4 linked regions of the Arabidopsis thaliana genome follow. The protein of the gene in region 4 interacts with the protein of the main gene of each other region in a pairwise test. Each region holds a gene or a part of one and is shown on either strand. Other genes may lie near its edges. The genes, in order: VP2, AT3G46890, AT4G10080 and AT2G01175.

Region 1 (8,823 bases), on a different chromosome or scaffold from region 4:
TTCGTTTCTGAAACTGTACGCGAGGATGTAACTTCATTCATATTCTGAAAATTCACAGAAAATTTATTTATCTCTTTACGTTTGATAAACATGATTGTTGAGAAAATGATTGGAGCGAGTCACTGATTACCGTTCTAAGCAAAAATGGGAAACGCTATAGGCAAAGCATCAAACGACATCGGAGGTTTTATCGGGAATATTTTCACAGCACCGTTAAAAGCCACACTTGGAAGATCCTGTTTGTAAGATTTTCACGTCATTGTCTGAATTCTGTCGTGAAATCGCTTTGGTTTGTTTTTCTATCGCATGTTTTGAGGATTTCTCTTCTGTTTAAAAATTACAGAGATGTATGCTCGGGACCATGGGATCTTGAGTGTTTCATAGAACATTTCTGTCTTCCTGATATTGCAAAGCTTGTGCTGATGTCAAGCCTCTGTTTCATAAGTAAACCTTTCTCTTATTTCCGATTTTTAGCATTCACTATTGATTCTGTGAACTTTCCTTTGTTTTCTATAATTTTGTATTTGTTTCTTTTTCCCAGTTTTGATGTTCATCACCCTCCTGTTCAAGCTTGGAATTTGCCAATGTGTTGTGAAAAGTATCTGCAAAATGTCATGTGCCGCTTGTGCAGCGTACTGGTTCGACATTGGAGAGATGATTAGTTGCTTGTGTCACAGTTTGACTAACATAAATCGGGTCAACCGTCGCAGAAAACGTCTCGATGATATAGAAGCTACGACCTATGATTATCCGAGTGATGATGAATCAAGTTCATCGGACAGTCCCAGTCGAATAGATAACATTAGACCAAAGCAGAGAAGAAGAAGACTAGGAAGCAAACACAGCCACCACCATCATGGCAGCAATCGCAACAACCGCCGTCTCATAAGACTACCGAGTAGACAATTGTCTGTACGAGTTGGAGGCAAATCAAGAAGAGTAAGAAGAAGTACTAGAAAGATTAAATCGAGGAAAATAAAGACTCTCAAAGTCAAAGATGTGGTTGATTAAAATGTCTCTAGAATTCCTTAAAGAGTGTCTCTAAACTCAAAAACAGAATTATCTCATTTATTCAGATGAAATGAAACACAAAAACCATTAATCCATGTAAATCATTTTATAACCAACCTCTCTCCCTCTCTATTTGTATATGTGCAAGAGAGTAAATAAGCCGGGATGGATAAGTAACGGTTCACTTTCAGAGGAAAACCGGAGCCATGACGAGAGTTATAGTCGCAAGCATTTTTATGAGGACGTGAATGGATGGACCGGCTGTGTCCTTGAACGGATCTCCCACGCTACAATTTTCAGATGAATTCTAATGAGAAATCGTATTCAGGAATATAACTTTGAATGAGTGTTGAAGTAGAACGAAAATACTTACGTATCACCAGTCACAGCTGCTTTGTGAGCTTCACTTCCTTTGCCCCCAAGTGCCCCGGTCTCTATGTATTTCTTTGCATTGTCCCAAGCACCTCCCGCCGTGTTTAGGAAAAGTGCCATTAAGATACCACAAACTGTTGCAAACATGAGCATAGAAGCTACAACTTTTGCTCCGAGCAGAGGTTGTCCTGTGTAGTAACCCAAGATTCGAAACACCAAACCTGAAAGAGAGAACAAGAGGTTTGTTTTTGGTCACAATGTTGTGGTTTCAAACTTTCAATACAGTAAGTAAAGAAAAACGAGTAGATATTACTGACTTACCAACTACAATGGGTGATGCAATAGCTAAAGCTCCTGGCTTTATCATTTCTCTTAAAGCTGCAGATGCGACTATGGCGACACAGCGACTATAATCTGGCTTCTCCTTGTACTCCTGCAACAAGATATTTGCTAGTCAACAACGGTACAAGCCAATACACAAGAAAAGGTGAAGCACTCAAAAGGAAAAATATGCTCACCATTATGCCAGGCCTCTCAATAAATTGCCTTCTTACTTCGTTGACAACCTCTTGTGCAGTTCGACCAACTGCCGCGCATGCCCAAGCACTAAAGAGGAAAATAAGCATGGCACCCAATAATCCACCAACGAACACTTCTGGGATAGCAATATCAACCTGATTTTATCCGAGGATGAGTATGAGAAGTTGTCTCAACATCGAGAATACAGCAACGATGCATAACGAAATCTACCTCTTTGAAAGACACATTAGCAAACGCTGAAACCTCGTCCATATACGCACTAAAGAGAAGGAATGATGCAAGTGCAGCAGATCCAATGGCAAACCCTTTCGTTGTTGCTTTTGTGGTGTTCCCAACAGCATCAAGAAGATCAGTGATCTCACGGACACTCTCTGGCTGCACGAAACATTTATTATTTCTACATAGAATAAAGATGGAACATAAGAGCCTTTCAAGCCAATCATGTGACATCTTACCTGCTGGCTCATCTCGACAATCCCACCAGCGTTGTCAGCTATGGGGCCAAACATGTCCATAGTAAGGACATAAGCTGCAGTGCTTAGCATTCCCATTGTAGCAACGGCTGTTCCAAATAGACCTCCAGTGGGAATACCATTTTCGTCCACTAGACCCGAGGTATTGCCCAACCAATACGCAGAAATAATAGCTACACTTATAGTCAAAACTGGAAGAGCAGTTGATTCCAGGCCCAAGCTTACTCCAGCAATGATATTAGTCCCATGACCAGTCGAGCTAGCAAGAGCCAACGTCCGAACAGGCTCGTGCTTATAGTCTGTATAATATTTGGATATCCAGACAAAGATATAGGCTGTGATGATGCCAACCAACCCACATAGGGCGAAATTGAACCATGCAGATGGAGCTTGTTCAGTGTAAAGCAGCCAGCGAGTCGACTACAAACATAAATAATGCTGTCAGAAGAATATAGCAAAGAATTTGTTCGAAATTTCAGTAATAACAAGGCTAGTGTAGGCTAATGAAAAGTCTGAACCAAAAAGCCCATAAAAAGCAGAATTAATTGTAAAAAGAATGAAAGGAACAAGACAATCAATGGTTATGTGTGACAACATTACCGCGCCAAATGTTATAACAGCTAATATAATTGTCAGAGAATATCCTTTCTGAAGTACAGCCATTGGATCCTCTACCGGAGATTTCACACTAGCATCACGTGTTCCCTTGATTGATAGAATACCAATTGAGGATATAATCAAGTCAAAAGAATGAACAACTAGAGGAAAAAGGATAAAGCCTGATGGATCTGCATAATAGAGAAAGATTTGAGTAAGTATCAAGCATGAACAAGAGGTTTAATAGGATGTTTATCAGCGCATATCTAACAACCACTGCTAGAAATGGGTAATGTTATTGAAATTTTTTGACTGCAGCCAAGTGTAGCTTGCTGTCATGAAAAGTAGTCTTCCTTCAATTTTCACACAATGCATAGCAGGTTCGTACAAGGTGCTTCAAACAATAACTCTATACAACTTATGTCGACTTTTTAAATCCTAACAAGTAATAATGTACCCTCAAATCCTCAAGGAGTGACCAAAACATGCAATAAAGCGTAGATTATTCTGTATACAGAATGTAATTTACGAGCTTGAACTCTCTATGCAACTCTTCCTAAGTTTGCATTTCAGATTATAAAATCCTAGCAGTTCATTTAATTTTCTCGGTATGAGTCAGGAACTCACACCATAAGTTATATATTTGCATATACCAGAAGTAACTTTAAAGAGAGATGGTGCACCTTCAATTTTGCACTTCTTAGCCATTGTTCCACCTAGTATCATTGCACTGATGATTTCTGCAGCTATACTTTCAAATAAATCAGCACCTCTAGCAGCACAGTCCCCCACATTGTCTCCAACCTACAAGAAGATGAAAATGGCTTTAAATGCCTAAATGACGAAAACACAAGCAAACCCTTGTAGAGTGATATATGCCCCAAACAAGGATGTCACGTTTGGGAATCACAGAATCAAGAAAGTAAGAAACAAAAAGAACAAAGATCAAATACCAAATCAGCAATAACAGCAGGATTTCGAGGATCATCCTCGGGAATTCCCTGCTCAACTTTCCCAACGAGATCTGCCCCAACATCAGCTCCCTTAGTATATATTCCACCACCCAACTGAGCAAATAAGGCAACAAACGAAGCACCAAAACCATATCCGACAAGAAGAAGAGGTACTGTAAGAGAAACAGAAAATTCAATCAATAAATCTTACAAGTTTAATAGCTCCACTATCGCCCATGCAAATGCAAATTCTGGTCAATAAATCAAGAGAATTACATATAGGGTTCACTGAAAATCTTAGAACTGTATTGGTACCCCACCTCAATCAAGATTAATACAAGTCATGACATATTTAAGAAAATACTGCTCATGTCTGAAAATGATCCTTTGAAAAGATAACAATAACTTTTTGAAACTCAGTACAATGATTATAGAATATACACACAAGACGAAAATGAATATTTTTCATAAAAAAAAAAGAGCAGAAGACTTACGGTCAGTAACATTCATTGAGCCTGGTGAACCCACGCCCAACCACACATAAAATGTAGAATAGAGGATGGCGATACCAATCACAGCCATACCAACAACAACCAGGGCTGAAAACCCACCAGCACGAACGGCTATCTGCATTATATCTGCCACTTAGTATTTGGAAACGTGTACATGACATGTTACCAAAATAGCTAAACTAAAGAAGAACCTGCAATGCTTCTCTCGCAGATCGTCTGGCAGCACTGGAGACCCGCACATTAGCACGAACTGACACCCACATTCCAACATATCCAGCAATACCTGAGCATAGAGCCCCCAAAAGAAATGCAGCAACAGTAATATAAGCAGACATCGCCCTGCAGCAAAATAGTAATATGGCTAAGCTTCATTCACAACAATTCAAAAGATAAAATAAATCTTGTGAATGTAATCATGTATCAGCACCTTCCTAAACCAGCAGCCTCTTGCTGGGGAGTTAAGCTACGGAATAGATATATGCAAAGAATCACAAAAGCTAGCAAAATGGCCATCTTGGATATAGTGCTATACTGCGTTCTGAAAAAACCTTCAGCTCCATCACGTATAGCATCTGATATCTATAAGTAAGAGAATTACCTCACAAATTAGAATTACAAATTTTTGATGAGAACAAAGAAGGAAAAATGTCAACATCATGACTAACACCACATAATCTGAGTGAGCTTACCTCAACCATCTCTGGAGGTCCTTCATCTTTCGCTAAAACCCACTTGGTTAGATATATTGACAAAAGGAAGCTGATGATGCATACTGTGAAGACGAACACGATGATGGGAGAAGTACTTGCCCCCATGTAAAAGATTGCTCCGAAGCAGAAAAGCAGAATTATCGAAAGGACACGGACATTTAATTTCCTAATAATCCGGAATATCTGCCAAAAAACAACTAAACTTTATACAATTTCAAAGAAAATGAAAACGAGATGCTCAAGAAACTAAGATGCTAAACGAAATAGAAGGAAACTAGTTATAATACGCATCTCAGTGATCTGATGCAAGCAAAAAGAAAAGCACTCAAGAAAGAGAGGAATAAAAGTTGTACCAGTGGACTATAGGTTTTACTACGCATGTTGGGAAAAGCCCTAGGCCTGTCATTGAAAGACATCAAACTGGCCTGCTCAACATCTTCATCCATCATCATGTTTTGAGCTGAATTAGCCCTTCGGACTATGTGTAGAGGCGTAAAGTCAATGCTATGGGGCAACTCCGCCCCAGAACTCGGACGCTGAATTTTAATACACTACAACTTTTTCCTCCAAACGTTAACAACAGCACATCACAAAACGAGCACAAGTTAGTATGAACCCTCTTAACTCTAGCTATATCTTTGATTCCAGCTTCTTCAAACTTTCTCAGTAGAGTTGCCACAACAAGTTTCCACCACAATCAAAATTTCTGAAAAAAATAGAAAAGTATGAAAAGTTGTGATGTTTCTCTTTACCAACCAAATAGCATTTTTAAATGAAATATAATCAGAGTAAGGTTCTACAGTAAAGTTTAGCTATAACTTTCATCATTTCCCATGAGCGTAATTGCTTCTACGATCAATTCCCCAGAAAAGTGCGATTAACAAACAGACCTCAAGATCTAATCGACTAAGATTTCAGTGAATAAAACGCAAGGGACTTTGCATTCCGAGTTTAATGAATCAAGCACCGTTACTTTAATTTAGATCTGAGTTCTGTTCTAAGAGAAATTCACATGATCTCTAGACAGGAAATGGATACGTTTCCAGAAACGAATCCAACGAAAAAAAAAAAGCATACGAAGAGTTTATCCGGAAACAAACCCTAAAAATCGGTAAAACAGAGAAGATGACGGCTCCGGTGAGAGTGATCAGAAGGAAACCGCCATTAGCGAAAGCTTGTTGTAGCCGAAGAAGCGCTCTATCCTCTCGCTGTCTCCGTTCTAAATCCGAAGACTTTTCACAGAACTTTCCGAATATTTTTTTCCTAAATTAATTTTTCTACCTTTAATTTTATTTTCACTCCTCAGTGGTTCAATACTAATTTTATGACACATCCTATCCAATGAGTCGTTGACACTTAATCACTATTCTCACTTAAAAAGTTAAAAACTTAAAATCATCCTCGTTTGTTAAATTATATAGATCGAGTTAAATTATCAAAAATACCCATCAATTTTGGAATATTAACATTTGAATATTATATGGGCCTAGCCCAAAATTATGTTTTGCCATTCGGCCCATATAATAGACAATCTGCAAAGTGAAGAAGAAGAAGAACCACTAACGTTATCTTACCGGCCCGATCACGGAGCTCACCTTTCATCGTCAATCTCCGGCGGACGAATTTCTCTTCGTAGCCGTTACTTCTCATTATTTCTTTGAAACTTTCTTAGAAAATTCTCTGTTTTGGTTAGGACAATACAAACAGAGGATGTTGATGACACTAGCGGCGACGACCTCCGTTTCATTTAACTCGAAGCTTCTCCTATTTCGAATACGTTGCTCGGATTCTAACCCTAAGCGTGGCTTCGGCTCAAAAAAGGTTTGATTCCAAATTCTTCTTTGTTCAACTTAATTTTGTTGATTCAAAGTACTGAGACAAAAATGTGAAATCGCATCACAGGAAGAGAAAGACCCGGCATTGCAGCAAAGGTATAAATAGTTTTTGTGTTTGTTTAAAGCATTTAGAATTTTAAATTGCTGTTGTTATATTTTCATATGGACTTCTTTGCTGCAGGAAATCATCTTCTAAACAGTCTGTTTCTGTACCCAGAAGTAAGTATAATTTGATTTTAAAGCATATTGTACGTAACAGATGTTGCTGCTCTCCTTCATGGTGTCTCGAACATAACTTCATTTTTGCATTCTTCAGTTTATCTCAAAAAGTTGGTTTCAATTGAAAGGTTTGCTCAAGAAACTCCTGCATTTGTTTGCAGAGGCACCTGGTCTGAATACTCAGTTTGAAGGAAAATCTGGTCGATCTTTTGATATAGACTTCGATGAACGGCTGGAAAACATCAGAAGGTACCTATGTTTTATGATTCTAGCATGAAGATTGGCTTTAGAGATATATAGGTTACAATAGGATTATTCCTCTGACAATCACACTTGACTTTCTCATTATACCCACAACGACATGATCTTCCTATGAAAGTTTGATTCTTTTTTTTTCTTGATTTGTTCATCACTTGTCTTGCTTTCCACTTCCCTCACCCCCTAGACATAGTCAAGATCATTGTCCTCCCACTGATCGGAATGTTATTTCTGTGACCTCTGCTCTTTTGATGAATCAGGTCAGCTCTTGAGCAGAAAAAGACAGAAGTAGTTAAAGAATTTGGTCCAATTGACTATGATGCACCAGTCAAGTCTGACCAGAAAACAATTGGTCTTGGTACTAAGGTACGCATACATAACATCTTGCAAGTGTTTATTTTTTATTTTGTTCTAAAACCACTTGAGGCCTATAAGCTACTCATACATAACATGACAAAACTTGGGCCCATGCCATGACAGGTTGGAGTTGGCATAGCTGTTGTTGTATTTGGTTTGGTTTTTGCTCTTGGTGACTTTCTTCCCACGGGAAGGTGCGTTAAGTGAAGTCCAAGTCATAACTGTGTCATTTACACCATGTTACTGTTTGTCATTTTCCTTCTTTTTATTCCAGTTTGTAATTGTTTGTGTAAAGATTCTGATGACATCATATGTTCTTAGGATCAGCTGGGTTGGTTTCCGTAATTTCACATTTTTGTCATACCAAGTCATGTTGTCATGTAATTTAGCCGGTGTCAGTTCTAACAATGTTTTTACCACTTTTCAGTGATAGTCCAACTAAGAACACAACAGTAGTTAAAAATCAAATTTCAGAAGAAGAGAAAGCCACGCTTCAGGTAATATTAGGGGCTGATCATGAAGATTTCGTTCATGAACTTTGATAATCTGAATAAAGTAAGATACGTAGTAAACATCTCGATTTTTTTTCATTTTGCAGCAAAGGCTCAAAGAGTTTGAAACAACTCTCAATGGCACGCCTCAGGATCAAGCTGCTCTGGAGGTGAGTGATAACATGCGCATGTTGTGCATACTATTAAATATCTTCTTCATCGGCATTTAGCCATTCATCTGTAGGCTTCCAATAGTAACAAGGAACAACTTAAACTAATAATCAGGTAGTATGTAACAGTTCTTACCTCCACATCTTAAATTGCATGGAACTTTTCTGTTTGCATTAACTGATTCACCGAAGTTAGTAATGTACACATAGTATGCTGAAAACAAGATAGGCTACCTCTTCTGACTTATTTATAATGCTAAAAAAATTCTTAAAGTTGGGGCACTATGCAGGGTGCAGCTGTGACACTGACTGAACTAGGAGATTA
Region 2 (3,982 bases), on a different chromosome or scaffold from region 4:
TTTCAGGGAACAGCAAGAAACATCCTAAGCTCCAAACATGGGTCCCTAGGTCAGTGGAAAAGTCTTAATTAAGCCTCAGAAAACTTGTCTCCCTTCTTGAATCAATATGGTTCCTTTCACTTTATATTAAGCCAGGTTTTACTAGAAAAACGTTTTGATTCATCTCAAAAAACCTTCTATCTCATGCCAAGAACGGCTCAAAAATTCTTCATCTAAGATTCACCGTTCTTTAGTCAAGATTACTATCCAAATCCGGGTGGTCTAATGGATACATTATCTCCTTGGTTTTCGTGGTTTCTTCACAGAACAACGTAAAGAAGCTGGAACCTGCAATCTAAGCTCATCTCTTTACTACGGTGGTCAAGATGTTTACTCTCACCCCACACACAACCATACTTACCCTACAGTGAGTTAACATAACTATCATTTTATCATCCACCCCTTCATGTTACTTTGATTGTTGATTTTTTCATAGAAGAGACAAAATCTTTTGACTTTACAAAACGTTGAATCATTCAGATTAACAAGGATCAGAACAGAGATAACAACGATGCCAATTCGTCTGACGCCTCTAGAGGAAACTGGTGGCAAGGTACTATACATACCCTAACCAAATGATGTTTGTTACAATATTCACGTCTTTGTTTGTTTTGCTTATAACATATGCCTAATCTTGATATTTTCGCAGGTTCACTATATTACTAGAAGCTTCTCTAAGTGCGTCTCTGTAGAAGAATATCAAGTTGAAACAGAACAATATTTGATTGTTTGAACATTTTGTTTGTTCTTAAAAAAACTGTTTCAATGATGTATACTTGACTGTCTAATGTTAAACCAAAGATTAGATCTCTGGCTACAGAACTAATCGAATCTGAAACCTCAAATCCATCAGACAAGAGATTGTAGAAACCCAAAAAAGGGTTAATAGATAAATGCGTAGAGCACAAGGAACACATAGATAATAAGTGCAGAAGGAACAAGTACAACAAGAGGAACAATAGCTGCAAGTGCATGAAAGCTTCTCTTACATTCCAAAGGTCCAAGTTTAATCTGAACAAGATCCACTAACGCCATTGTCAAGAACCCACATCCCAAAACCGACGCAACACACGAAGCAACAATCCCAACCCTTAAAGCTGCCAAGTTCACACGCCCCTCTCCCGCGTTCAACACACGCGCCTCCTCCTCTAAACAGTTCCCGTTTGTTGTTGTTGTTGTTGTCCTAATTGCTTGCTTGAGAGACATAGCGATGAGACTGGAGAAGAGGAATAAACTGAAGGAGTAAACATGGCTTGATACTAGCCTCTCCGCTAATGCGGGACCTTTTGCAGAGATACATCGGCGGAGATGGTGGTTCTCGGAGGCTGATGAGGAAACCGGGAAAGTGATGTTTCCACTTGTGGTTAGGCCGAGGAAAAGAGCAAGCGAGAAGAGTGAATTAACGTTCACGATGCCGTCTATAGCCGTGACGTGGATTAGTGTAGTTGGGAGGAGTCGTCGCCGGAGAAATTCCACGGCGCCATTGGAGATTGCCATCAAATCTGAATCGTTATAGCTCCTAGACAACAATTTTGATTGAGAGAGATAGAAATTTAGTAATTCATATTTAGAGAAAGTTTAGCTTTTAGTTGTCAGTTTTCCGGAGACTGTGGGAAAATGTGAGTAGCGTAGAAGCTAAGTATTGCGTGACGTCTCCGAGGAAGAAAACGACGGACAGGTAATGATAGGAAACGTGAACCGCAAGGTATCGAACCTTTTTTCTTTTTTGGGCTTTTGTATCGATACGTCGTCGTAGAGGTCATATTTTTTTTTGTCTTTTACCCAACAACACTAATTAGAGAATTTTATATAATCTCTATGATTAGCTTTTCTATAATTTTGTAAAATCTTCATATAATCTTGTAAAATCTGTCTAAATATAATTACAAACTTTGTCATTAATTATTTTTATCTCTTAGAGGGTGATTGACATCGCACTGTCAAGACTTTAAAAGCATTTGACAGTCCTTACAGCATTTTTTCATACAATCAGACTGTTATTTGTTTTTGCTCTTATACAGTCTTAAAAGTCAGATTTTTTTTTACTCTCTGTAACTTCATTTTTATCTAAAGCCATGTAATTGAGACTTTAAGTGGTGTTAAAGCTTTTGCAACAATTATTATTAGAACATATCTCTAAAATATTGGATAATATTTTCTCATCTTCTATAAATACTATTTTCACCAAAATGATATTATTATTTTAGGCTTTCTTTATAAAAAACGTAAGTATTGATTGTCAAAAAGTGTACTCTCCCAAAATATTCCACTACGATTTTGTTAATACGTAAGTTTTCAAATTTTCCTAATTCATCTTCTTAATTTGTGTGTTCATATACTATTGTCTTCTTTGTGTTTGAGTGTTTTGGTTTTGTATATTTTTTTTTTATGATTAAAATTCTAGTGATTATCAATTTTTTTTCTTATTACTATCTATACATATATGCTTAGTTTATGGGGAATTCCCAAAAGAGTAAGGAAAAAGGTCAATACAAACTGTGTCGTGAGGTTTTGAGGCTTGTGATAATCTATGGTCATTCTTCACGATGGTTTATCATTGGTCTTTGTTTATATACAAAGTTATGATTCACAATCGCTCACTTTTTATGATATTTTCATGATTTTGTTTTGTGAATAAAAGTGTATAAAATTATAAACCAATAATACAATAATTTAAATCATTAACAATCATAGATTCTTTTGTTTTTAGTTGAATATCACAAAAAAATTGATGACTTTATTAAATTATGAATCCAATAACTTCAGATTTATTAAGACTTTAGATTACTTTTTACAAATCAAAATTTAATAACACTAAACTTTAATAGAATCTTATAAAATCTTAATTGAATAACAAAAGATTTTTCATAACATTTCAAACCACTAAAAATCTATATAAATAACAAACCAATAACACCTCCTTAATTTTGGTTTTGAAACCTAAGTTACTAAATCCTTAATTACATTTGTATAAATTCTTTTCAAATTATTAGATTTATTCTAAATTAAAATTAGATATTCTGTGTAAATTATTTATTATACCAACGCAAAGAAGATTAGACGAAGAGGCATGGAGTTGTAATGTTGTATCATGCAAATAAGGTAAATACTATATATATATTTAGGGGATTATATAGTTGTCTTTCTTTTGAACATCTATTTAAGGGGATTTTCTAAATTCTAATATAACGAATGTTTGTACTACACAAAAAAATTTAACAAGTCAAAAGATGATGTACTTGTACTACAGTACAACACATACATTTAAGAAATCACAATAAATACGAACCGATTCTCTCTTAAAAATTTTGTCTACAAGAAAATCAATCATAAACCCTATTAACATTAGTATCATGGATCATGATCACATGCATGACATGCCACCACCATCACCATCATCATCATCGATGTCGAATCATACAACACCACACATGATGATGATGCACATGACCTTCTTTTGGGGTAAGAACACGGAGGTTCTCTTCTCCGGATGGCCCGGGACAAGCTCCGGCATGTACGCTCTCTGTCTCATTGTTATATTCCTCCTCGCCGTAATTGCCGAGTGGCTCGCTCATTCACCGATCCTACGTGTCAGTGGCTCAACCAATCGAGCCGCCGGGCTCGCTCAAACCGCTGTGTACACACTCAAGACTGGCCTTTCGTATTTGGTGATGCTCGCTGTTATGTCCTTTAACGCAGGTGTTTTCATCGTCGCTATCGCCGGCTATGGCGTTGGTTTCTTTCTCTTTGGGAGCACTACTTTCAAGAAACCCTCCGATGACCAGAAAACCGCCGAGCTTCTTCCGCCGTCTTCAGGCTGCGTTTGTTGAACAATTGAAATTACTCTTTGTTTTTTTTTTTATCAACAAAATTACTCGTTGTGTTATAAAGAACTTTTCTTTTGTGTGTGGTTTGGTTTTAAATTTTGATATTTCGTTTTGGT
Region 3 (5,899 bases), on a different chromosome or scaffold from region 4:
TGAATCCCTCAAAATTTGGATTTTGGCACCAGAGTTAAACTGAAGATACCGTATAGTCTCCCCACCTTTACCAATCAACACACCTACCTGCAAAGCATTGTGATAAGCACGTCAGTGAAAGTATTCCGAAAGAAAAAAACTCACAGAACAGCCAAAAATGAAAACCAAATCATATCACCTTTGAACTTGGGACATCTATCCTACGAGTTGTCGACTGTGTGCCATCAACCTCCTTCTGAGATTTTTCACCATCCACTTCCTTATTTTCTTCTTTACCATTCTCTTGAGAACTACCATCATTCACTTCCTTACTATCGTCATCAATCACCTTCTGATGTTCACCACCATTGACATCCTCAATACAACCTTGTTGGTTATCCTCAGGCTTAACCTGATCATCTGTTGGCTGATCTACACTACAAATCTTATTTTCAGACTCATCAGCATGAATAGGATCCTGAACTTCCTCAACAAGTGGTACAGAATCTTGATTCTCTTCCTTAGGTTCCTGAAGCTGTTCTTCCTCTTTTACCTCCATTGAAGACCCATTTTCTTGTGTATTCCCATAATCTACAACAAAGGCCGAAGAACAACAATGAGAAAGACTGATTTATCAACAAACTCAAAGAAATCTCTTTTTTTGAAAACTATAACCATAGAACATCATAAAAATCAAAACTTTAGTTTATAAGAAGCCAAAGAGACAGAAACACCTAAACCATCTTGAGCTTCATCTTCTAGCTTCGCTCGTTTAGCCTGAGAAGAATCAGATGTTTGATTGCTATCATCCACGATATTTCCATTAAGCTCAACTTCGTCGAGCTTTCGCTTGAGATCGACAGGCGGCGTAGAGATAACAACAAAATCTTCCTCCGTCATCTGGAAACGAATCGTCCGGCGAGGAATTTAGGGAAAGCTGAGTACTGTAGGGTTTGGGGAAGAAGAGAATTATCTCCGGCAGTGAAAAGAGTTTGGGTTGCGACTCTGAACGGTGGTGGAGAAGTAACGTTTAAGGCTTTAACGTCTATTTATAATGTTCGGGCTTTTATTGGGCCTAAAAATGGGCTACCAGTTTTTTTTTTAAAGTTATCAAAAATAATGATGTTTTCTTTGTTGATCGTCGAGGGGATGTTGTTGAGACGATAGCTTCTACTCAAATTTTGTAGAATCGACAACATAGTAGAAATTTGTAGGGTCTTTATTTCCATTGTAGTGGTTTTATCGACTTTGGACTATGTCCTCCTCTCTATAATAGTTTACAAGCTTGAAACCCCAATGAAATCCATAACAAAACCCACATATAGCTTATGAAATTCTTAAGATCAAACATAGAAAAAGGCTTACCAACTGGGATTTTCAGTCTCTGAACATACATAAATCGCTACGGTAATCACTCTGCAGTGTATCCCACGGTTGGGACACGACTCACATACGCGATTTCATAAGATGGTAAACTACTACTTATGCATAGGTACGACATAAACACATGTATTTGTATTCTTACGGTACATAAAGTGATGGACATTGTATGATTGATTCTCCACTGTGTCTAGGTATTGTAGAAAACGGCTTCTCATCTAAGGCTCAAAACCGGCCATGCGCCAGGCGATGGTAGAGCAGGGCGGATCACAGGGACCCTTCTTACCTCTGTGAACACTTCATTGAGTCGAGCAGCCTGACTCATCACCCGCGACGCCTTCTGCACAGATCATAAACAACCCAAGACGTGATAATGATAGAAGTAAACCAACACCAAACAAATACCAACCAAGCAAAGAGATGTGCGCTAAGGGAAAATATCAAATCACAGCATTTTCAGCGGATGATGCCTCAGTATTTTTGTACTTAATTCAGACAGATTACAAGAACATATTAACTACAAAATCTATATCTTAGAGGGGGGTATTGGACATAAATTCTAGATTTTCAGGTATAATAAAAGAATTTCGAATCTTTCTTCTCAATTCAAATAAATATTTTGCAGTATTTTTAATAGAATTCTACTAGAATTAAGAAGATAAATTACTGAAATCTTTTGTTCCACAATGCTCTTTATCGGGACAGCCACCATGCCCAATCTCTAAAAACTGTACTTTTTCCTTCACAAACCTCTTAACCCAGAAACAATCTACGTTGACGTTTACATGAAATGGAAGAGATCCATATTTTGACAACAACGACAACGACGTCATCACAACCTCCGCTCATCTGCTCTCTATAGATTAACGCACTCTCCTCATATATAATCGAACGAATGATGATCCGAAGAATAAACCGGATCGAAATCACAGATTCTAATAAATGTGTTAAACACTCTCCCTCAGATTTGAGAATTTTTTTTGTATGGTTGAAGCAAATCGATGAAAGAGAAAAAAAGGATGGATGTGTTATATTCTATCCAAATCTCAACTCAAAAACTCAGAATTTGTTCTTCACATTTTAGACCAATTTTTCTATTAAATTCTTGTGAAGTAACGTTGTCAAACAAAACTACCGAAAACTGAATAACACTTGCAACTAATAGAATTAAGAAATGAGCAAGTTAAATAACACAAGAATTTAAAAGAATTTGTGAAATGTCTAATTGAATAACACTAGAATTTAAGATTCTATTGAAGTCTATCAAATTCATGCGTCCAATACCCCCACCTTAATATAAGGCAGGACAAGACAAGAACTAAACTAAACTTGAAATTCTACGGCTCAAGTCAGACCAATTGCATCAACACAACATAGAGTGTAGCTAACTCCTAAAACGTATCAATCTAGACCAGCTTACCAACTTCAAGCAAAATGAAAACACAAGGGTCAATGATAATATAGTGTACCTTATCGTCAATCGTAACTTTAAGATGGAACCTTTGAGCTTTCTTCTTCATATTATACAATCTACGTCCCAAGAGAACCAAACCCATCACAGCAGCAGCCATAGAGACAGACCAAACCGGACCAATCCTAAACACAGAGTACTTAAGAAGCACAAATGGCATCTTCCACCACACAGTCTCTCTACTTTTACCCTCACCACCAGAACTCACGCCTCCAACTTCCACAGTATCTCCTCCACTTCCCTCAATTACTTCACTAGAAGCAACTACACTATCAGAAACAACTTCTTTTTCACCATTCACAACCCCAGAATCTCGAGAAACCAATTCATTTCCCCCTAAATCAGAACACAACTTGCTCGAATCCTCAATAGGTTCTTCAACACCCGATTCGTTCTCACCGTGCCTTCCATCAACGAATTCTTCGAGATTCTCTGTTTCATAGTGAGATACGGTTCCACCAGTTAATTCAGTAGCAGCTTCGCTCTCAACATATTTCTCATTGGCAGCTTCAAAATCACTAAGCCTAACCTCACCATCACCCAAAATTCCAGTTTCTGAATCATAAACCCCAAATTCATTTCTGACACAATCATCACCCGATTGACTAACACTGAACTGATCCAAACCAGAATCAACACTAACCTCACCCGGATTCAGACACTCCGACCCGTAATCAACCCGAAAAGAATCAAAATAACCCGATTCAATCACCCGATCAGTAGCAGAGAAATGATCAGAAAGAATCATACCGTCATCGATTACGCTTGAACTCTCTAATTTCGTCTCCGATGTGATTGAATCAGTTGATTCTGTATCAGAGCCATGATGAAGAAGCTCCCAATCATCCATGATGATCGAATTCGAAGATTTCAGATTGGGATTGCAATAATCAGAAACCCTAATGGATAAAACCCCAAATATTGGAAAAGGATCGCAACAAATTAGAGCGGTTGATGATGGAAAAGAATGGTTCTTATCCACTTTGAGAAAGTAATTACGTGGAGGTATCTAATTGGTTGCGTGTCAATCTCAGTCCTCAACTAAATTTTTTGGCATTAAAGTTTAGTAGATTCAGAGAACTATAGTATTTATTCATTTTGTTCTTTCATTTTTATTTTATTTTTTAAAACGATTTAATTAGGATTCGGCAATAAATCGTATGGTGCGGATCAAATGAATTAAACAAATATGTATCGGTTAAAATAGAGTAGACGATGTAAGAAAAATATATATAATCAAGATTCAAACGGTTGAGGTGGGTTTTGCAAATAAATCCATCGGTAGATTGAAATATTTTCTTATTTATTATTTATAGATTAGTATTTATAATAGTACTGACCAAAAATATAGAAAAAAAAAATCGGTAAAAACTTTAGACCGATTTTATATAGAAATAAATTTAGTTTATAACGGATTATTGTCCGCTCCAAAATTAAATGGTTTAGTCTCTAATAGTTTAGTTTGTTTCGAAAAGAATGGTTCTTATCCACTTTGAGGAAGTAGTTATGTAGAGGTATCTAATTGGTCACGTAACATTCTCAGTACTCAACTAGATCTTTTGACATTAAAGGTTGGTAGATTGAGAGAAGTATGGTATTTATTCCTTTTGTTCTTTCATTTTTTTGGTTTTTCACAATGATTTAATTAGGGTTCACGACGAATCGTATGGTGCAGATCAAATGAATTAATCAAATACTAGATGATTTACCCGAACTATGTACAGGGAGAAATAGTTATATGAAATATATAAACAAGTTTTTGGAAACAGATTTTATATTATCACTTGATATATAAGTGTGAATATTTGAATATGATTTAGTAACTGATATATTTTGGAGATTTTATTAGTTAGGAATTAGGATATTCTATATTTGGAATAAGATTTTAAATTAAAATATTGACCCAAAAGAAAATCTGAAATATCATTCCTATAATTCAGAAATATATTCGAATATTTTTTGTATTTTATAAGATTTTATTTTGGAAACAATTCAATATAAAAACTGAAAAGAGTATGAATAATTATGTTTTAAACGTAATAAATTTTTGATTATCTTTTATTATTCTTCATAATTCTATGTAGTTAGGATTGATTTATTGCATATCCCTTATTTTATTAATCAATTTATATTGTTACGATAAGGTTTTGGGTTGTAAATAAATTTTAACTAAAATGAGTAAATGACTAATTAAATTGAATAAACTGTGTAAAAGTTTTAATAAATTGATAAGGTAAAAATTTGAAAAGAAATAATATTGAAAGTAATCAGTAAGCGGATACATTTTTAACATAGATTAATATTGAAATATTGTTCATAGTGAATGTGTAATAAATGAAATGTTACTAACTAATTTATGTAAAACTATGTTCCGAATATATTCAAGAATCATATGGGCTCACATATACATTTAGATTTTTTGCAATTTATAACAAAAAAATAGAATGTCATATATGTTAAAATTCTAAATGTTTTCTATAAAACCTAAAAAAATAAAGTACGAAACATATAATAAACATTTATATTATATGTTGTTCATCATAATTTATGATATATACTTTTTACTTGTTTGCTCAAATATATATGGTTTTTTGATTAATTTTCTTTATTAATTGCTACTCTCTTAAATGTAGAGGAAAAATATGCATAAGTACCACTAATGGCATTATATGTAATTAGTCTAGTAAATATTGGATAACTATTAAGTTTGTTGAAAGTTTTTCTGGTTACGACATGTCAGCATGATAGTCTTGTAAATCACACGTGAATGTAAGGTTTTTTATTTAAAATACTTCTCAATTAATATATAGGGGATGTATCAGTTAAAATAGAGTAGACGGTCTAAAACCATCTCCAATGCACACCTCTATTTTTTTCTTTCATTTTAGAGACAAATTTATTTTAGAGGAAATTAGATTTTGCTCCAATGTATTCTTCTAAAATAGTTTTTTTCTCCAAAATAGAGAAAATAAATAGATTTTACTCTTTATATAGATTAAAACGTAAGATTCCTTTATTTTAGAGAAAAATCTATTTTAGAGACATATATTGAAGCAAAATGTATCTAAC
Region 4 (4,656 bases):
AGTGGTTGCTCTTTCCGTAGAAACCAAAGGAATCAGAATCATGAGCACCAAAACCCCTGAATATAAGAGATGCTTGATTGATGATTGTTGTTGAGACATGACATGAAACACAGAGACAAAAGAGAGATTGGGTACCGAGGAGATTCCAAAGAGCAGCAAGCTGTCCAATGAAAGACAAGACGGAGATGGGGAGGCTGTTGAGAAGAGCGTGGATGAAGAGGATCCCACCATGGATACCAATCACAACAAAGTCTGATCCTTTATAACCGCCGCCGTTTCTACCGCCGGTGGAGAGAAGGACGATCACCTGAATCAACTGTGCCAGAGAGAAGTCAACGCTGGCCGTCACTGCCCACTGCAAACACACCACAACCTTACTTTTAGCCCCAATGAGAGATATATCTAATGAAAACAAGTCTGCTTGAATGAATGTTGCACCTGACCAACGATGTTGAACCTGAAAAAAGATTTGTGAAAATGAGTCAGAGAGAGACGCTCTCTTGCTTCCAATTCCAAATTAAGAAAAAGGTGAGAGAAGGGAGTACCAGCCAGTCATCCAAGAGGCAAGAGGAGCCCAACGAGGGCCAGCGAGCATAGCACTCCAGTAGTAGAGACCACCGGAGGTAGGGTAAGAGGAGCAGATCTCGGCCATAGATAACCCAACGCACATTGTGAAGGAGCCGGCCAGGAACCATCCGTAGACCAGAGTGACAGTGCCGCCGAATCTTAAGCCGGTGTTGTAGGTGGTGGTGATACCAGTGAGCACCGATATGATGGAGAAGGAGATGGCGAAATTGGAGAAGACCCTGAAATCTAACAATTGTTTAGCTAACACAAATCAAAGAAGAAAAAGGAAAGAGTGGCGGAGACAGACGAGAGATCGCGCTTGAGCTCTTGCTTGTAGCCGAGCTCCTTGAGGCGGACTTGGCCGGAATCCATGACGGGAACAAAGGATTGATCGCCGCCCAATCCCATAGTCTTCCTGGCCTGAGAGTCCAAAGCTTTGGTTGTTGAGAGCTCTCTCTCTGATTCAGACAAGATATTTATTTTTCTGTTATATTACTTTTTACATACCCCTCCAAACTGTCTTTTTATTATTATTTATTCTTTAAACTAAATAAATATGTAATTCAAGTAATATAAAAAAACTAATAAGCAACCCCAATGGTTAAGATCCTTAAGGAATCCTTAAGAATTTTCTAATATAAATTTTGACAAATATAAAGCTAAGGACTAGCTTAGGGACTCTCAAAAATATTCATGTCCAATAGTAGGAATTCTTAAGAAAGACAAATTTGAAAAAATATTTTGGTATTTGAGTTTAGATTGCTTGAAAAGAAAGATAGAGAAGACAAACTATACAAAAAATTTGATACATTTTTGATAAACACATTTTGAATAACAAAGATTCATGACAATAAATATGACAAAGTATACAAGATTCATTTGAAAACATATCAAAGACAAAAACTATACAAAAAAACATCATCCTCTTCTTGAAGATACTCAGAACATGGCCTACTCTTTGATACACAAACCTGGTTAATTTGCCACTGATGAGGATGACTGTGTAGAATGTTCAAATCATAAAATAGACAACTTTGTGGTTATGTTACCACGATCCACAAAATCATGTTAGTCTCGAGACTAACAATCAAAGATTTGCTATCCAAAACAAACTAAAAAAGATTTGATGCAATATTGAGAGGAAAAACTGAACCTGGTTTCTCTGATTTGAATTCCATTTTATCAGACTCTCATCCGTGCAACAGAATTTATAACACATTAACTAACTCTTGTTAACCACTCGTAATGCTAAAACATTATATAACCACAATCTTTGAACTCTCCTTCTTCATAACATTAGAGAGACAGAGAAGATTAAAGACTTGACACAAAAGTGTTTCAGAAGAAAGAAACAAACAAACCGAAGCCAAAAATCCTCTAACATGAGACACACAAAACAAATCTAGTGATGTTGTTCAACATTACATAACACATCTAAAAATACACTAATTTCGTAGACCACAAACATAAATCATATATGCTCATTGATTAAGAACAATAAATCATTATCTGAAGCCTTATGCAGAAGCAAGATATTTACCTTCTTTGAAAAAGGGGACCAACAAACCAAACAGCAGATGGATGATCAACGACATAATGAACCAAGTTATCACCGGCTGGTCTAGCAAGGGCTGCACAAGTAGCCAAAGAACCAAGAAACCCAAGTGCCCATAAAGCTTGAAGAGTCCTCTTAACCTCCATAACATATATACGAATTAGAAACAGAGATAGCCCCAAACCACTAGCACCAACAAAGTAAAACAAATCATGGTTCTGCTTGATTAGTTCACTTAATCAATGATGACAATCAAACATTAGCATCATCATTGGTCTCTTGTGTTCCCATACATACAACATCCGCTATAATTTCAGAGACACATCCAATTCAGAAATATAACCTTTGTTCTGATTATGATACATCAATCATCAATCGGAAGAAATCGATTGAACCTTCTCAGGGAGAGACAGCGCACGACTCTATGAGTAATATACAAAAGAAACGATTGAGAAGATTTACCTGGCGACACTGAGAAGAGACGATGAGGGAGGTATGTGACTATACAAGCTTTCGACAACTGCCGATGGTTACATGCGCTGCTGCTCCGATTACCTACCATCACCACTTACGAAACTTGGATTGATTCAATCGAACAAAGACCAGTGAGATCAGAAGCTAAGACCATCCCCATTGGTTAGGTCCTTAACCATGATCCTTAACTTTTTTTTTTTTATTAAAATTTTGCTTTTTGTAAGTTAAGAAACTAATAAGAGTCTTTAACAAATTTCTACTCCAATGGTTAAGAAACAATGGGTCCTTGAGTAAACAAAAATCAAATTTTTGCAAAATAATGTCTTCCAATACAAGCATGAAATTCATAATAACAAAGAGAAGAGATGAAATTTGAATTGCTAGTATCATCATTTGCTCAATAAAACACAATATAACAATACGCTAGCATGACAAAAACACAGTTTTCAGTTCTGTTCCAATATTTTCAGAAACAGAGAACCATTTTAATATCTTGAGTGCACAAAAGAAACGGTTTCCAGTTGTGCTTCAATATTTTCAGAACTGATTTAATACCTGCAGCATAGTTGGCAGCGCATGTGCGTAAGCACAAGTGTCAAACTTTGTTCTACACTAAAATAATAGCTACCCAGAAATTAAAAGAAGAAGAAGAATGAGAGAAACGAAGGGAGAAATAGAGAGAAAGAGAGATTACGCATGTGGAGAGCTCGAGTAATTTAGTGTTGTGGATGATTGAACCAGCTATGGCTATGCTAACAATGGCTTTGCCATCTTCAACCATCAGATTATAAGAGAAAATGTTAACCCAAGAATGATTACGAATTAAGAAATAACTGATTTCAGTTTAGATCACAAACATGTAAATACCGTGTTCACTAGAGCCGTATTAGTCTATTGGACGAGATTATTCGAGCGACCCAAGCCTCTCGGACACCAGAAAAACGTCAATTTCATGAAGAGTGGATTTACAAAAATGTAATGGTACAAGTAGAGTTTTGAATACACATACAGTATGTAGCTACACCATTCACAATCTCACGACGACGGCCAAATCAAAATGAAAAACCAAATAATGAATCAAATAATAAGAGAGGAGGATCATCTGGGAGCGGTGGAAGTGCCAGATTCCATGTTTTCGAGAGATGTTGAATCCATCTGCAGAGACATAGCCCTCAAGGCATCTCCGTTTTGGGAGGAGGTCACAGGGACTCCTCGTTCTTGAGCTGCCTTGAAATAGGCGTAGGGACCCCATCCTTCTTCGTGGTAAGGGTTGGGGTAGAACTGACGGTAGCAGAAGGCGGCTACAAGGGTGCCAATGAGAGCTCCTGCGAAGACATCTTGCCAGTGGTGCCAGTAGTCATCCACACGAGATATCCCCACAAGACAAGCGGCAAGCAGAGGGAAGATCACGAGGCAGAGTTTCGCCACATGTCCTTCATTGTTGAAGGCCTTGATTTTGCCAGAGAGGTAAAGGGAAAGGAATGTAAGCCCCGCAAAGGACCAGGAAGTGTGTCCGCTCGGGAAGCTCTTGTGGCCTTCCTTGACCTCAGCTGCCTTGCCGTGGCATACCACACCTCCCAACGCATCATACAGCTCTTTGCCGTCGGGGAAGCAGCGCCAGTAGAAGTTAGGACGAGGGCGTCCGGTGGCTACCTTGATGGAGTCAGTGATGACACCAGTTATCAAGACGGCGAAGAGCAGCCCGAGGATGCTGTGGTGCAGATCGTACACACATGTCCTCTTCAGGTAGAAGCAGACGAACACTATGATGGGAAGAAGCACAGCGTACACAGGGACAGACCAGATAGGTACGGTGTTGTCCTTGAAAGGGTACTTGAGGTCAGTCATCATGTCTTTTCCCACGTAGCGGTAGAAAGGAGAGATGAGGTTCAAGCCTATCTCGATGGCAATCAAGATGACGAGTATGATCCAATCGTGCTTGTGTTTAGAAGCGACTCTTCCTCCATGGGACTTTATAGTGTGAACACTAAGATCTATCTCCTGCATCCTCCCTCTCTGCGCCTCCTGGTCCTGCCACCAAAAACACAAACAATCATCAC

What was found.
Region 1: the proteins of AT2G01175 (region 4) and VP2 interact in a protein complementation assay, tested with the Arabidopsis thaliana proteins (one large-scale study listed by BioGRID).
Region 2: the proteins of AT2G01175 (region 4) and AT3G46890 interact in a protein complementation assay, tested with the Arabidopsis thaliana proteins (one large-scale study listed by BioGRID).
Region 3: the proteins of AT2G01175 (region 4) and AT4G10080 interact in a protein complementation assay, tested with the Arabidopsis thaliana proteins (one large-scale study listed by BioGRID).

Annotation. Positions count from the first base shown.
Region 1 is NC_003070.9:29,669,137-29,677,959, reverse strand, and holds VP2 (vacuolar H+-pyrophosphatase 2), read right to left. Parts: upstream 6,466-8,823; 5' UTR 6,269-6,465; intron 6,181-6,268; exon of another isoform or gene 5,969-6,180; intron 5,875-5,968; 5' UTR 5,621-5,874; coding exon 5,522-5,620; intron 5,352-5,521; coding exon 5,148-5,351; intron 5,038-5,147; coding exon 4,886-5,037; intron 4,798-4,885; coding exon 4,650-4,797; intron 4,574-4,649; coding exon 4,441-4,573; intron 4,120-4,440; coding exon 3,947-4,119; intron 3,798-3,946; coding exon 3,677-3,797; intron 3,185-3,676; coding exon 2,997-3,184; intron 2,817-2,996; coding exon 2,379-2,816; intron 2,299-2,378; coding exon 2,134-2,298; intron 2,058-2,133; coding exon 1,902-2,057; intron 1,817-1,901; coding exon 1,705-1,816; intron 1,605-1,704; coding exon 1,385-1,604; intron 1,299-1,384; coding exon 1,199-1,298; 3' UTR 1,129-1,198; exon of another isoform or gene 1,012-1,128; coding exon of another isoform or gene 542-1,011; 3' UTR 445-541; downstream 1-444. Other genes in the region: AT1G78922 (uncharacterized protein), read left to right, coding at 145-242, 344-444, 542-1,011; AT1G78915 (Tetratricopeptide repeat (TPR)-like superfamily protein), read left to right, coding at 6,879-6,989, 7,071-7,099, 7,185-7,222, 7,384-7,471, 7,741-7,846, 7,961-8,040, 8,159-8,209, 8,265-8,334 and 2 more. UniProt on the Arabidopsis thaliana protein: Pyrophosphatase active in both inorganic pyrophosphate hydrolysis and H(+) translocation.
Region 2 is NC_003074.8:17,265,495-17,269,476, forward strand, and holds AT3G46890 (maternal effect embryo arrest protein), read right to left. Parts: upstream 1,635-3,982; 5' UTR 1,537-1,634; coding exon 922-1,536; 3' UTR 847-921; downstream 1-846. Other genes in the region: AT3G46880 (uncharacterized protein), read left to right, coding at 7-49, 306-406, 476-592, 689-772; COPT2 (copper transporter 2), read left to right, coding at 3,393-3,869.
Region 3 is NC_003075.7:6,298,881-6,304,779, forward strand, and holds AT4G10080 (uncharacterized protein), read right to left. Parts: upstream 3,865-5,899; 5' UTR 3,681-3,864; coding exon 2,829-3,680; intron 1,700-2,828; coding exon 1,574-1,699; 3' UTR 1,139-1,573; downstream 1-1,138. Other genes in the region: AT4G10070 (KH domain-containing protein), read right to left, coding at 1-87, 179-570, 714-879.
Region 4 is NC_003071.7:103,488-108,143, forward strand, and holds AT2G01175 (uncharacterized protein), read right to left. Parts: upstream 2,805-4,656; 5' UTR 2,585-2,804; intron 2,309-2,584; 5' UTR 2,274-2,308; coding exon 2,085-2,273; 3' UTR 1,397-2,084; downstream 1-1,396. Other genes in the region: BAT1 (bidirectional amino acid transporter 1), read right to left, coding at 1-56, 136-355, 439-457, 546-806, 875-975; PAP1 (phosphatidic acid phosphatase 1), read right to left, coding at 3,695-4,627.